3 linked regions of the Cricetulus griseus genome follow. The protein of the gene in region 2 purifies or fractionates together with the protein of the main gene of each other region. This does not show direct contact. Links are inferred from orthologs where the notes say so. Each region holds a gene or a part of one and is shown on either strand. Other genes may lie near its edges. The genes, in order: Anapc11, Anapc2 and Cdc27.

Evidence for each region.
Region 1: the proteins of Anapc2 (region 2) and Anapc11 purify together in Homo sapiens (affinity purification with western blotting; 7 studies listed by BioGRID and IntAct, with this or other methods). This does not show direct contact. The link is inferred for Cricetulus griseus from reciprocal best matches to the Homo sapiens genes ANAPC2 and ANAPC11.
Region 3: the proteins of Anapc2 (region 2) and Cdc27 purify together in Homo sapiens (affinity purification with western blotting; 20 studies listed by BioGRID and IntAct, with this or other methods). This does not show direct contact. The link is inferred for Cricetulus griseus from reciprocal best matches to the Homo sapiens genes ANAPC2 and CDC27.

What each region holds. Positions count from the first base shown.
Region 1 is NC_048600.1:133,092,664-133,096,410, forward strand, and holds the start of Anapc11 (anaphase-promoting complex subunit 11), read left to right. Parts: upstream 1-1,231; 5' UTR 1,232-1,368; intron 1,369-1,381; exon of another isoform or gene 1,382-1,525; intron 1,526-1,876; 5' UTR 1,877-1,894; coding exon 1,895-2,003; intron 2,004-3,747. Other genes in the region: Alyref (THO complex subunit 4), read right to left, coding at 423-554, 878-1,111. UniProt on the Homo sapiens protein: Together with the cullin protein ANAPC2, constitutes the catalytic component of the anaphase promoting complex/cyclosome (APC/C), a cell cycle-regulated E3 ubiquitin ligase that controls progression through mitosis and the G1 phase of the cell cycle.
Region 2 is NC_048599.1:136,623,131-136,626,877, reverse strand, and holds the start of Anapc2 (anaphase-promoting complex subunit 2), read right to left. Parts: upstream 2,466-3,747; 5' UTR 2,440-2,465; coding exon 2,269-2,439; intron 2,041-2,268; coding exon 1,418-2,040; intron 1,049-1,417; coding exon 916-1,048; intron 162-915; coding exon 1-161. Other genes in the region: Ssna1 (Sjoegren syndrome nuclear autoantigen 1), read left to right, coding at 2,606-2,657, 2,833-3,032, 3,363-3,470. UniProt on the Homo sapiens protein: Together with the RING-H2 protein ANAPC11, constitutes the catalytic component of the anaphase promoting complex/cyclosome (APC/C), a cell cycle-regulated E3 ubiquitin ligase that controls progression through mitosis and the G1 phase of the cell cycle.
Region 3 is NC_048600.1:117,544,904-117,548,550, forward strand, and holds part of Cdc27 (cell division cycle protein 27 homolog), read right to left. Parts: intron 3,418-3,647; coding exon 3,318-3,417; intron 2,192-3,317; coding exon 1,984-2,191; intron 1,464-1,983; coding exon 1,291-1,463; intron 1-1,290. UniProt on the Homo sapiens protein: Component of the anaphase promoting complex/cyclosome (APC/C), a cell cycle-regulated E3 ubiquitin ligase that controls progression through mitosis and the G1 phase of the cell cycle.

The sequences.
Region 1 (3,747 bases), on a different chromosome or scaffold from region 2:
CCTGGTAAGACCCAGGAAAGGTCAGTCTGGAAGACACACAGCCACCATTCACCCCTGTGCCTTCAGACATGTGGGGGTGGGGAGAGTTTTCCTTCTCATAAGCTTACTACTACAGGCACAAAGCCTGAGAAGCTAGCACCCTCGGTCACACAGGGACCGGACTTGTGGCCAGTCTGTGCCCGTTAGAAACTGTAAGCCTTGCAGACGGCAGGTGCTCGTGACGTTAGCAGACAAGAGCCACTCTGGGGGCACACCAGGCTGCCTTCCAAGCAGCCTGACCTATCAGTCACATTCAAACCCCAGGGGATACTACTTTTTGTGAGGGCAGCGGCTGGCCCTTGGGCAGCCTGGGGGAGCACAGGCTCTGATCAGAAGGGATTCTGTGTGTGGGGATAAGCATGCGGACGGCTCTGGTCTCTTACCTGAATATCTGCGTCTGACACTCCAAAGTCAAGGTTTGACACCAACAGTTTTCCGCCGGTCTCCACGCCGGCTCCACCCCCGAAGCCGCTGTCGAACAGATCGTGCTGCCATTTGTCTGGAAGTTGTTTCGGCTGAAGGGAAAGAGAGGTTCGTGAGCGACCTCGTCTCGGGCGCCCCGATCCCTCCCCGGCACTCACACTCTCTCTCTCACGGCGGCCCGAGAGCCCGGAGGAGACGACCCCCACGCCCGCCGCTCCGCCGCCACGAGGCGGGACCGGACCGGACAAAGCGTCCCGGAAGATCCCGGCCTGTGACCGGGGCCTCGCTCACCGCGCGGCGTCGCCCCCGCCCACCCTCCGTTCCGTTCCGTTCCCGCGGTTCCCGCAGGACGCCCGCCCGCCCGCCTCAGGGCGCCGGGAGCCCGCCCCGCCGGCGCCGCGCCTCCCGTGCTCACCCTGCTGTAAGGAGCCGGCCGGTTCCTGCCGCCGGCGGCGGCGCCGCGAGAGATGGCGGGCCGGTTCCTCAGAGGCCCGCCGCCTCGGTTCACCCGCGCGGCCGCCTGCACCGCCCCGCCGCGGCCGCCCTGGGCGCCGGCCCTGCCACGGCCCCTGCCTCCGCCGCGGCCGCCTCGCTGGCTCCGGTTCAGCTTGATAATATCGTCCAAAGACATGTCCATTTTGTCGGCCATGGCGGGCGCGGAATCGGGCCTCAGATCGAGCCCGCGCGTCAGCACGTCGCTAGGTCACTTCCGGAGCTTCCCCTGGTCTTCCGGCGTCGCGGCCCCCGAAGCTGCCCCTGATTGGCCTCGGCGCGCGCGGAGAGCGGAGGGCGCCTGCGCTGCGCTCAGGAGGACGGCCCGCGCGAGTGTGTGGCGCCCGGCGCGGCGCGGTCGTTTTTATACCTCCCGCGCTCCTGCAACGGAAGGGCGGGGCGCCGCGAGATTAGGTGGAGTGGGCGAGGCGTGGGCGGGGCCTGGCCTGGGATCCGCCCTGCGCAGGCCGGAAGGCGCCGGATCGAGTTCGGTCCGTCCGCCCGCCGAGTCCCTGAGCTGCGAGGCGGGGGGCCGATCTGTGGATCCGATTTGGGGTTTGTGGGCTCGAAGGGATGGTTTTTTAAAATTTAATTTTATTTAAATTTAGCAAGCTGATGGCTTGTCACGCGCGGGTTGTGAGTGAAAACCGAGGTGTTTTTCATGGATGCAGTGGTTTTTGTTTTTGTTTTCCTCCTTTGGTTTTGGGCGGATCTGCCTCCGCGGCGCTGAGGTTAAAGGCGTGAGCCAGCCTGGCCCGCTACCTGGGTGCACAGCTCTAAAAACGACCTTCAACATAGCAAAACAACTTGGGAGCCTGGCTCCCTGGAGGCGCCTAGCACGCAGCTCCCCGCCTTAAATGCTCAAGTGCCGTCTGTGGTAGTAATACAGAGTAACTTTAGCCAGGAAACCCTCTTCCCTCAGGTCGCACGCTCTGCTGCCATGAAGGTGAAGATTAAGTGCTGGAATGGTGTGGCCACGTGGCTCTGGGTAGCCAACGATGAGAACTGTGGCATCTGCAGGATGGCGTTTAATGGCTGCTGTCCAGACTGTAAGTGCCCCCCCTCCCCCGTGCTCTCAGAACTTCGGCCAGCTCCACCAGCCTTGAAAACCTTGGGTTTCCCAGCACTAGGGAGGCAGAGGCAGGAGGATCTCCGAGATTCCAGGACAGCTAGGGCTACGCTGAGAAACCCTGTCTCGAAAAACTAAGAAAACCAGAAAATAAAACCGTGGGTTTTACTTTCCATTTCCTGAAGGAAAGTTGACAGAAAATAAACGAATTCTTCAAACTCACTTTTGTATAAAGACCCTATCCAGCATGGTGGCAAACATCTGTAATACCAGCATTTGGGAGCAGAAACAGGTAGCCTCTGAGTTGGAGGCTACATAATGAGAGTCTGTCTGTAAAAACAAAGAAAAGCAAATAAACAAAAACAACACTTTTGTTTTTGCCAAGGCATGGTGGCACAGACAGAGGCAAGAGGAGGCTTGAGTTTGAAGCTTGCCTGGGATACATTGTGATGATTGGTCATTCTCTTAATTCCTCAAAATGCTACTTCCAGTTTGAATTTTCTCCAAGCAAAGCAGAACAAATGAGGATACCCCTGCCCAGCACACTGAAGTTCAGACAGCAGTTTCCATACTTTAAGTTGATGCTTATAAACTATGAGCAACTTAAGCCCCGTGTCTCACAAAGCTGCTCTAGCATCCTCGTTCCAGCATCTTTCCCCAAATGTCTTGTTATTGGGGTTTGAGCCATTCTTGACATCTCAGGACTCTCAGCTCTCTGTTCTAAATACTTCTTACTATTCTTGTTTTCCAGGCATTTGAGCTTTATGAATTTAATGTTTTTCAGAATGCAAAAGGTCTTTATTTATTTATTTATTTATTTATTTATTTAGAGACAGGTTCTCAGTATGTAACCCTGGCTAGATTGAAACTCATTATGTAGATCAAAGGTCACAGAGATGCCTGCCTCTGCATCCAGAGTGCTGGGATTAAAGGTATGAACCAATGTGATCTCCCAGCCTGGTTTATCAGCCCAGAGTTAATCATCTTGATGCAATTAAAGAGCTGTGACTTGACTTTTTTTATTAATTTATATTTTACATTCGAATCCTAGTTCCCCCTTCTGCTCCTCCCACTCCCCCCCCATCTGCTCCTTGGAGAGGGTAAATCCTCCCCTAGGAAGTCTACTAAGTCTCCCCTATCATCTTCTTGAGGCAGGACCAAGGCACCTCTCCACCCCCACACCCCTGTGTCTAGGCTGGGCAAGCTATCTCTCTATAGAGAATGGGCTCCACTGAGTCAGTTTGTGTATTAGATTAGCTCTTGGACCCACTGCCACTGGCCTCATATTTGTCATTTGTCTTTTTTTTTTTTTTTTTTTTTTTTGAGACAGGATTTCAGTATGTAACCCTGGCTAGCTTGAAACTCACTATGTAGATCAGTCTGGTCTCAAGATAAAAGAGATCCGCCTGCGTCTGCATCCAGAGTGCTGGGATTAAAGGCGTGTACAGCTCAGATCACCTAACCTGGTTTATTGGCTAAGAGTTAATTATCTTGATGTAATCAAGATAATTATCTTGATGTAATTAAAGAGTCTCTTTTCCTTTTCTTTTTTGATTTTTAAGACAGGGTTTCTTAGAGTCCTGTGCCACCACTGCCCAGCAAGTGTGAGTTTCTTAGGAATTCATTGATTTTTCTGGTTTAAGTTTTTATTTATAACATTTGTGATTAGTAACTGAACACACAGTTCTAGTTTTTATTTTCAACAGAACACTTGTAGATTTTTG
Region 2 (3,747 bases):
AAAAGCTCCTCAATGCGCAGACTGGCATAGATACGGTAGAAGAATCTCTGTACGTGGCAGCGCCAACGGCGCAGTGTGTTCCCTGCTTCTGGAGAACTTGGCCTGGTAGTGTTGTCCTGAAGAAACACTTTGCCAAGCCAACCAACCACTCTCTCGATCCACTGTGGAAGATCATTAGTGTATGAGGTGTAATAACACTTAAATGATCCAGCCTGACCCAGTAGCCATATGCCTTTGACAGGACCCTAGAGGAGCCACCAAACCTGCACTCCACTGCCCAAGGCTCAATGTGGCTGCCCCAAGAGCTTGCAGGCTCATGACTCTAGGCTCATGATCACTATGGGGACACCCACTCTGAACATTTCCCATCATGGCTAACAGGCATCCACAGGGGATAGATACTTGAAAAATGGGAGGTCAGGAGTGAAGCAGAAACAGGGTGGACAGCTTCATGGGGCTGAACCTAGCTTTTCCACAATGCTGGGAACCCCATAGCAGAATTACATACCATACCTCAATATTATCGGCAACCAGAGGCCTTCACTGAGACACCCTAACTCCATGCTAGGGTACAGACTGTGGGTTAATCCAGAAGGAACTGTTAAGTGAGCACACATTTTATAGGGCAATGGAAAGAAAAGGGTCTGGTGGGCCTGTCTTGCCATATCTGTCTGGGGAAATCCCTTGGAACCACCTCTGGCCCAGGATTCTGTTTCTAGCTATAGGATTCTGCACAGGCCTATTTAGTACATACCAGATTTGTCCTTGTCACCAGGGTCCAGGATTGGCCTCTAAACAGCACCAAGATAACTTCAGCTATCACTACTCCTGGTCAATCTGCCTACTTCTTGCAATCAGGTCTGCAGAAAGTCCACTTTTGCCCTTGACAGGTCACAGTCCAGGGAGAAGTCTCACCTTATGGAACTCACGAAGAAAGGAGCGTTCATACTCTCCCCGGCAGCGGTCTTCCATCCTTTCCCGAGTCACTTGGTGCAGGGTGGTGGTTACGGCCTCAGCGCTGACCCTCTCCAGCAGACTGAGTCTATGCCTGGAGGAAATCCCTGCTCATGGAGAACCCACAACACACACCTGTCCCTTACCTAGGAGGGCCCTTCTATACCCTATACCTATGTCCAGGAGAGTGGTGGCACACACCTTTAATCCCTGCACTTGGGAGGTAGAAGCAAGCAGATCTTTGAGAGTTCCAGGCCAACCTGGAACTCAACAAAGTGAGTTCTAAGACAGCCAGGACTGTTACACAGAGAAACTCTGTCTTGAAAAACCAAAATAATTCTTGGCAGCAAGTAAAAATGGAAAAAGACCTCACCTGTCACTAGCTCTACACAGAGGTCTACTGAATTCAGAACAAATGGGGCATCCAAAGAAACTGGGGCATGGCCGAGGAGGCAGTACTCACAGGACCTGGCTGAGCTGGTGGAACTGCTCCAGTGCCTGTCGGCACCAGCACTGCTGTTTGTCACTGCCACATCCTGCACATAGAGGGCTCTGCAAGAGTCGGTAGTACCTTCGGCGGGCATACCGGCTGTCTAGCTCACCCTCTAGTTCGGGGTCTGTGCCCCCTTCTCCTTTTCTCTTGCTCTGCATATAGACTCTCAGGAAACGGCCATAGAGACGCTGGACCATTTCCTGAAATGCCTTGGGGGTGGAAAAGAACAGGACACCCCGCAACATGGTATGAACTTTCTCCCGAAGCCCCTGAGCTCCAGTGCCCATCAGCAAGCCCAGACGAGTCCATTTCTCTAGGAGTTCTAGGCTATGCAGGTAGGGATCCAAGCGGCTTTCCAGGAGGCCGAACGCATCCAGGAGCAGTAGAAGGCATTGGGGTTCATCAACAGAGTTCTCGCGCTGGGCGATGGCATTCCAGAACTCTGGGGCAATGTTGCCCTGCAGGTCGTTCTGCAGCACCTCCACAAACCACTCCTCCAGGATTGAGTGAAGACCATGGCCCCTCAGAACCTCCACCGCTGCACGGAGCTCTTCCTCCTTTGGTGGAACCGCACCGCTGGTACGAGAAGATGCCTGGAGCAGAGGGGCGAGGTAGAGGTAAAAGGAGGGGAGGGAAATGAAAGAAGAATAAGAAAAAGAAAAAAAACTCAGCAGCCAAAGGCTGCAGGAGGAACCAAACAAATCAGATAGCTGAGGAAGGAGGCGAGTCCCCTACAGGACTTTAGATGGACTCCCTAAACCTAAAGCATGCAGAGTCGAGGCAACGCCACACAGGCCCGCCAACCATTCCCCAGGCCTCACCAGCCCCAGTGCGGCCGGCGGCACCAGACCAGTGCTCACGGTATTCCAAGCAACCAAGAGCTCCTGTCCAGGCCCAGAGTCACAGTCATCGGCGGCGACAACTGCCTCCGCCGCCGCCGCCGCCGCCGCCGCCGCCGCCGTCGCCGCCACCGCTACAGCCTCGGCCTCCATCAGCGTCCACAAAACAGACCCGCCCAATGTAGCGCACTGTGATGACGCAAGCAAGGGACTGGCGCGCCGCTGTGACGTCCGCGTTCGCGCGCGCTGCGGGGGCAGTGCGCAGGCGCAGGCCTGGCCGTGCGGGCGGCGGTTGAGGCTTCCGGACGCGGCGCCGACCATGACCCAACAGGGCGCGGCGCTGCAGAACTACAACAACGAGTTGGTCAAGTGTAAGCAACGGGCACGGGAGGCTAAGGGCCACGGGCCAGGGTCTGGCCGACCCACCCGGGAGGCCGCGCGGACACGCCTCACGAGCCTCGCTCTGCGGCCTGCCCCGTGTGGTGCTAGTCGGGGTCCGAAGCTCACGAGCCCCAGCCCACAGCTCTGTCTTCCCGCCCACCCTAGGCATCGAGGAGCTGTGTCAGAAGCGAGAGGAGCTGTGCCGGCAGATCCAGCAGGAGGAGGATGAAAAGCAGCGGCTTCAGAATGAGGTGAGGCAGCTGACGGAGAAGTTGGCCCGCGTCAACGAGAACCTGGCGCGCAAGATCGCCTCTCGCAACGAGTTTGACCGGACCATCGCAGAGACAGAGGCCGCCTACCTCAAGGTGGGGCTTTCAGCTGTGCTCTGTCAGTGCCTCACTAGGATCTCAGGCTCGGGCCCATTGCGGTTCCGAGGCTGTTCTGTCTATGGGATCCAGGAGAGTGAGCAGGCGGTGTATTGGAAAGAGTACATGGTGTGGGCCAGAACTAACGCAGCGTGGCTTTGCAGGGAGGGTGGGTTTGGGGAGTGTAACTATTACCCTACCCCCCACCCCCCGTGGCCGGTTGGTTTCAGCACAGGCCAGATGGAGATTCCCATTTTCCAGAGTGAGTGGCTGCGGCGGTGAGATCTTCCTACCAGAGAAATAACAATCCTTTTATTTCTCTGGCCCCAGATCCTGGAGAGCTCTCAGACTCTGCTTAGTGTCCTCAAAAGGGAAGCTGGGAACCTGACTAAAGCCACAGCCTCAGACCAGAAGAGTAGTGGAGGCAAGGACAGCTGACAAGTGGCTGTCTCAGCCGTGGCCTATGGCTGCCCAGTCCCCAACATGTCTGTCCTGAAGCATCTTTGTTCTTCGTGGCCTTAGATGCCTTCTCACTATCTCAGGTGCCCAGAGGGGCAACTTCCGACCTCCACCTGCCTTGGGTGACAAGAAAAGCCCTAGGACAGTCCAATAGGAAAGGAGTTCCTGGCTCTGTACTCACATGTGTCATGGGGACCCTGAGCTCCTGGTTAGCTCCATGAGGGGCCTCTCTCGGAAGCTCCTGTATCCCCTTGGG
Region 3 (3,647 bases), on a different chromosome or scaffold from region 2:
CCTAAGGTCTCTCTGTAGCTATCAGGTTCCTCTTTTCCTCAAACTGTTCACGATTCCTGGAATTGTGCTTCTTGTTCTAAAAACTCTATAAATCCAACAAATCATCTAGTTTCATCACCTTAGTAAATTCAAAACATTTAAATGTTTAATTCAGTATTTGGACTGTATTCAATGAAATGAAGATGACAGAAAATAAGAAAAGGGCTTTTGTTTGAAATATCTACTTTTGTCTATGTATGCCACATGTATGTGGGTACCCAGGGCCAGAGAGGGCATCAGATCTCCTGGAGGTGGAGTTATAGACTGTTGTGAGCTGATGTGGGTGCTGGTAACTGGATCTCTCCAAGTATAGCAAGCGTTCTTAGCTATTGAGTCATTCTCCAGCTACAGGAAAGGACATTTATAAAATTGGAAACTTTTGCCAAAACATCTTGATTTGGCATCTAGAGTCAATTTGCTGTTTTGTAAGTTATCTCAATTCTCTTAAAAGTTGTATGCTAGGAACTTCCAAAAGGGGGCTGGAGAGATGGCTCAGTGATTAAGAGCATTGGCTATTCTTCCAAAGGTCCTGAGTTCAATTCCCAGCAGCCACCTGGTGGCTCACAACCATCTGTAATGAGATCTGGTGCCCTCCTCTGGCCTGCAGACATACATGCAGGCAGAACACTGAATACAAAATAAATAAATAATAAATAAATATATCTTAAAAAACAACAACAATGCCGGGCATTGGTGGCTCACGCCTTTAATCCCAGCACTCGGAAGGCAGAGGCAAGTGGATCTCTGTGAGTTCAAGGCCAGCCTGGTCTCCAGTGCCGATAGGCTCCAAAGATACACAGAGAAACCCTGTGTGTGTGTGTGTGTGTGTGTGTGTGAATCCCCACAGGCTATATAAGACACAGCAATTGGCCATATACAGGTATCTTTTGCCTTCAAAGTTTTCAGAAACTATTGAAATCTTTCAAAAGTGATTATTACCTAGGAATGAAGGCTAAAGGAAGAGGAATGTGGCAAGTGTGAGGCCAGCCTGGGCCACACAGTGAGCTCAAGGTGAGCCCATAGCAAGGTCTTGCCTCCCAAAAATAAAATAAAAATGGAAAGCAATTACAAAGATCCAGGTGTGGTGGCACATGCCTGTGATTTCAAGGCTAGCAGGAAGAATACAGTGAATTCAAAGCAAGCATTAGCTATACAAACAAACAACAAGCAAGTGATTATGATCTATACAAACAGGAAAATAAAAAAATACTACTAAAAAAAGTTGAAGGACTGGCATCTTTGTATACTTACCTGCATGTATTCTGAAAGTTCAAAATAAGCTCGTCCAATTTGGCACAATACCCAACCAGTACTGTAGTGGTGAGAAGGTAGGTGGCTCAAAATATTTATAGCTTCTTTGCAGTTGTATGAACACAAAGCTAAATAACCTTTTCCCATTTCACGAAGAAGACTCATCAAACCTTCTAGGAGAAAACAATATAATAAACAAAGGAGAAAAACACAACTGTGGTTTTCTAAAAAAGCTAACCAGATTACTCCTTTAAAATATAGTTCCAGTATCTGGTTGGCAAGATGGCTTGGTGGTTAAAGGCTCTTGCCACCAAGCCGGGTGACCCAAGTTTGATTCCCATGACTAACCTATACATGCACACATGCGCACACACAATCTTTCTCTCAAATACAATTTAAAAATGTTTTAAGGGTGCTCAGTTGTTAAGAGCATTTTCCATCCAGTTCCCAGAATCCACATGGCAGCCCACAATCATCTATCTGTAATTCCAGTATAGGATTCACACCTATTTTGGCTTCTGTAGGCATATATATTCAACAGAAATACAAAAAAGGACACAAATTTAAAAACATAAAACCGAACATTTTTAATGCCAGTATTTATCTAAGAACAATGAAGGCATGAAGAAACTTATCAAAATAAGTGTATAATAAACTAAAGACACAAGAACCACAGAAACATTTACAACAGACCTGCAGCTGCCTTCTGTAGGTTAAAGGCCTGGATCTGAGGAGTGATTGTGGATAATTTCCCTTCTGAAATGATAGAAGAGTCCAATTTTGTAATTTCCAGACTATCATTTATGTTGGGTTGAGTTATTCCTCCTTTGTTAGTTTTACTTTTTGTTTTTCTGTTTGGGATTTTAGGTGGAAACTTCATTTTTAGCTTTTTGCTATTCTCCTGTAAAAAGGGATAAAATGTCATGCTTGTCATACTCATTATTTTAGATGTCTCCATTTACGTTTTCTTGAGTACTCATGTAAAAGAAATGCATAATCCTCAACAGTCTTTTGTTTTCCTTATCAGAAATTCTATATGTAAAAAAAAAGTCTTCAAAAAGCAATTTTTTTTTTTTTGCTTGTTTTTTGTTTTGAGACAAGGTCTTACTTTTTGGCTCATGCTGACCTAAAATTTGAAGCAATACTCATATTTTAGTCTCCCAAATATTAGAATCACAGGAATGAGTCAACAGCCCAGTCATTTTCATTTTAAATACAACAATAAGCCACACAATTAATAGTGACTGATGTTATTCTGCACCAAGGGCAGCTCTCTTCAGAGTGGATCACATTCTCAAATCACTATTTAAAAGTAACAAAATGCAAAATTAACTATATCAAAGCACTGTAATCAATTGTATAAAACCACTAACTGGATGTATCAAAGGTAAATTATTCACGTCAGTCAGAAGACCAAGAAACAAAGCGTTCTCTCATCTTTTGCTTTTACCTTTAAAGTAATTCTAGGAAGATAGTAACGTGACTAAATCTCCACTCATTCTTTCCTCAGTGGTAACATGTAAGCTACAGAACCATGGACATTTCCCAGCACTTATATCAATTCTTTTGCATGTGTATATATAGAGTAATTTTATCAAACAAATGCATTTGTGCAAGCAACCACAACATTTATGATATAGGATTATTCTTCCAGAACAAAAAATCCATTTGTACTACATTTAAATAGTTTTATCTTCCCTCCAGCCTTATTTCCTGATTAAGACGCTGACATTTTTATTATAATTTGGTCATTTCAAGAATGACATATTTACCCAAGAACCAAAGAGAGCAACAAAAATTATAGCTAGCTCACCACGTAAAAATGATTTAGTACAGCATGGTGGTGCACCTGTGTAGTCCCAGCACCCGAGAAGCTAAAGCAGGAGGACGGCAAATTCCCAGACCAGCCTGAGCTCCATAGGGAGTCCTCTAAACAAGGTGAAAACAAACCCTTTGCTTGCTTGAGATGGGGCCAAGCAATGCACAGAAATCTTAGCACAGTAAATGACCATGACAGTCATCCTTACCTTGGCTGTTGAGCTGTCACTAGTGAAAAGGCGGGAACTCCTTCGAGGCAATGCATTTGGGGGAGATGTAATAGTGGGGCTCAATACCTGAGGTGTTGTACTAAAACAAACAGAAACGTTTAATATTTAGCTTATGACCATTAACTATTGTCTCAATTCTATTTTATTAAAACATGCATTCATCATAGAAATATTTTAAAACTGGTTCTGTTTAGTTCCTTTTGGGTCTCTACGAAAACTCAGAATTTAAAAATTAAGAAGCTAACAGAATGGCTCACTGGTTAAAAGTACTTGATGCTCACCTAGAGGACCCAAGCTTTGTTCCTAGTG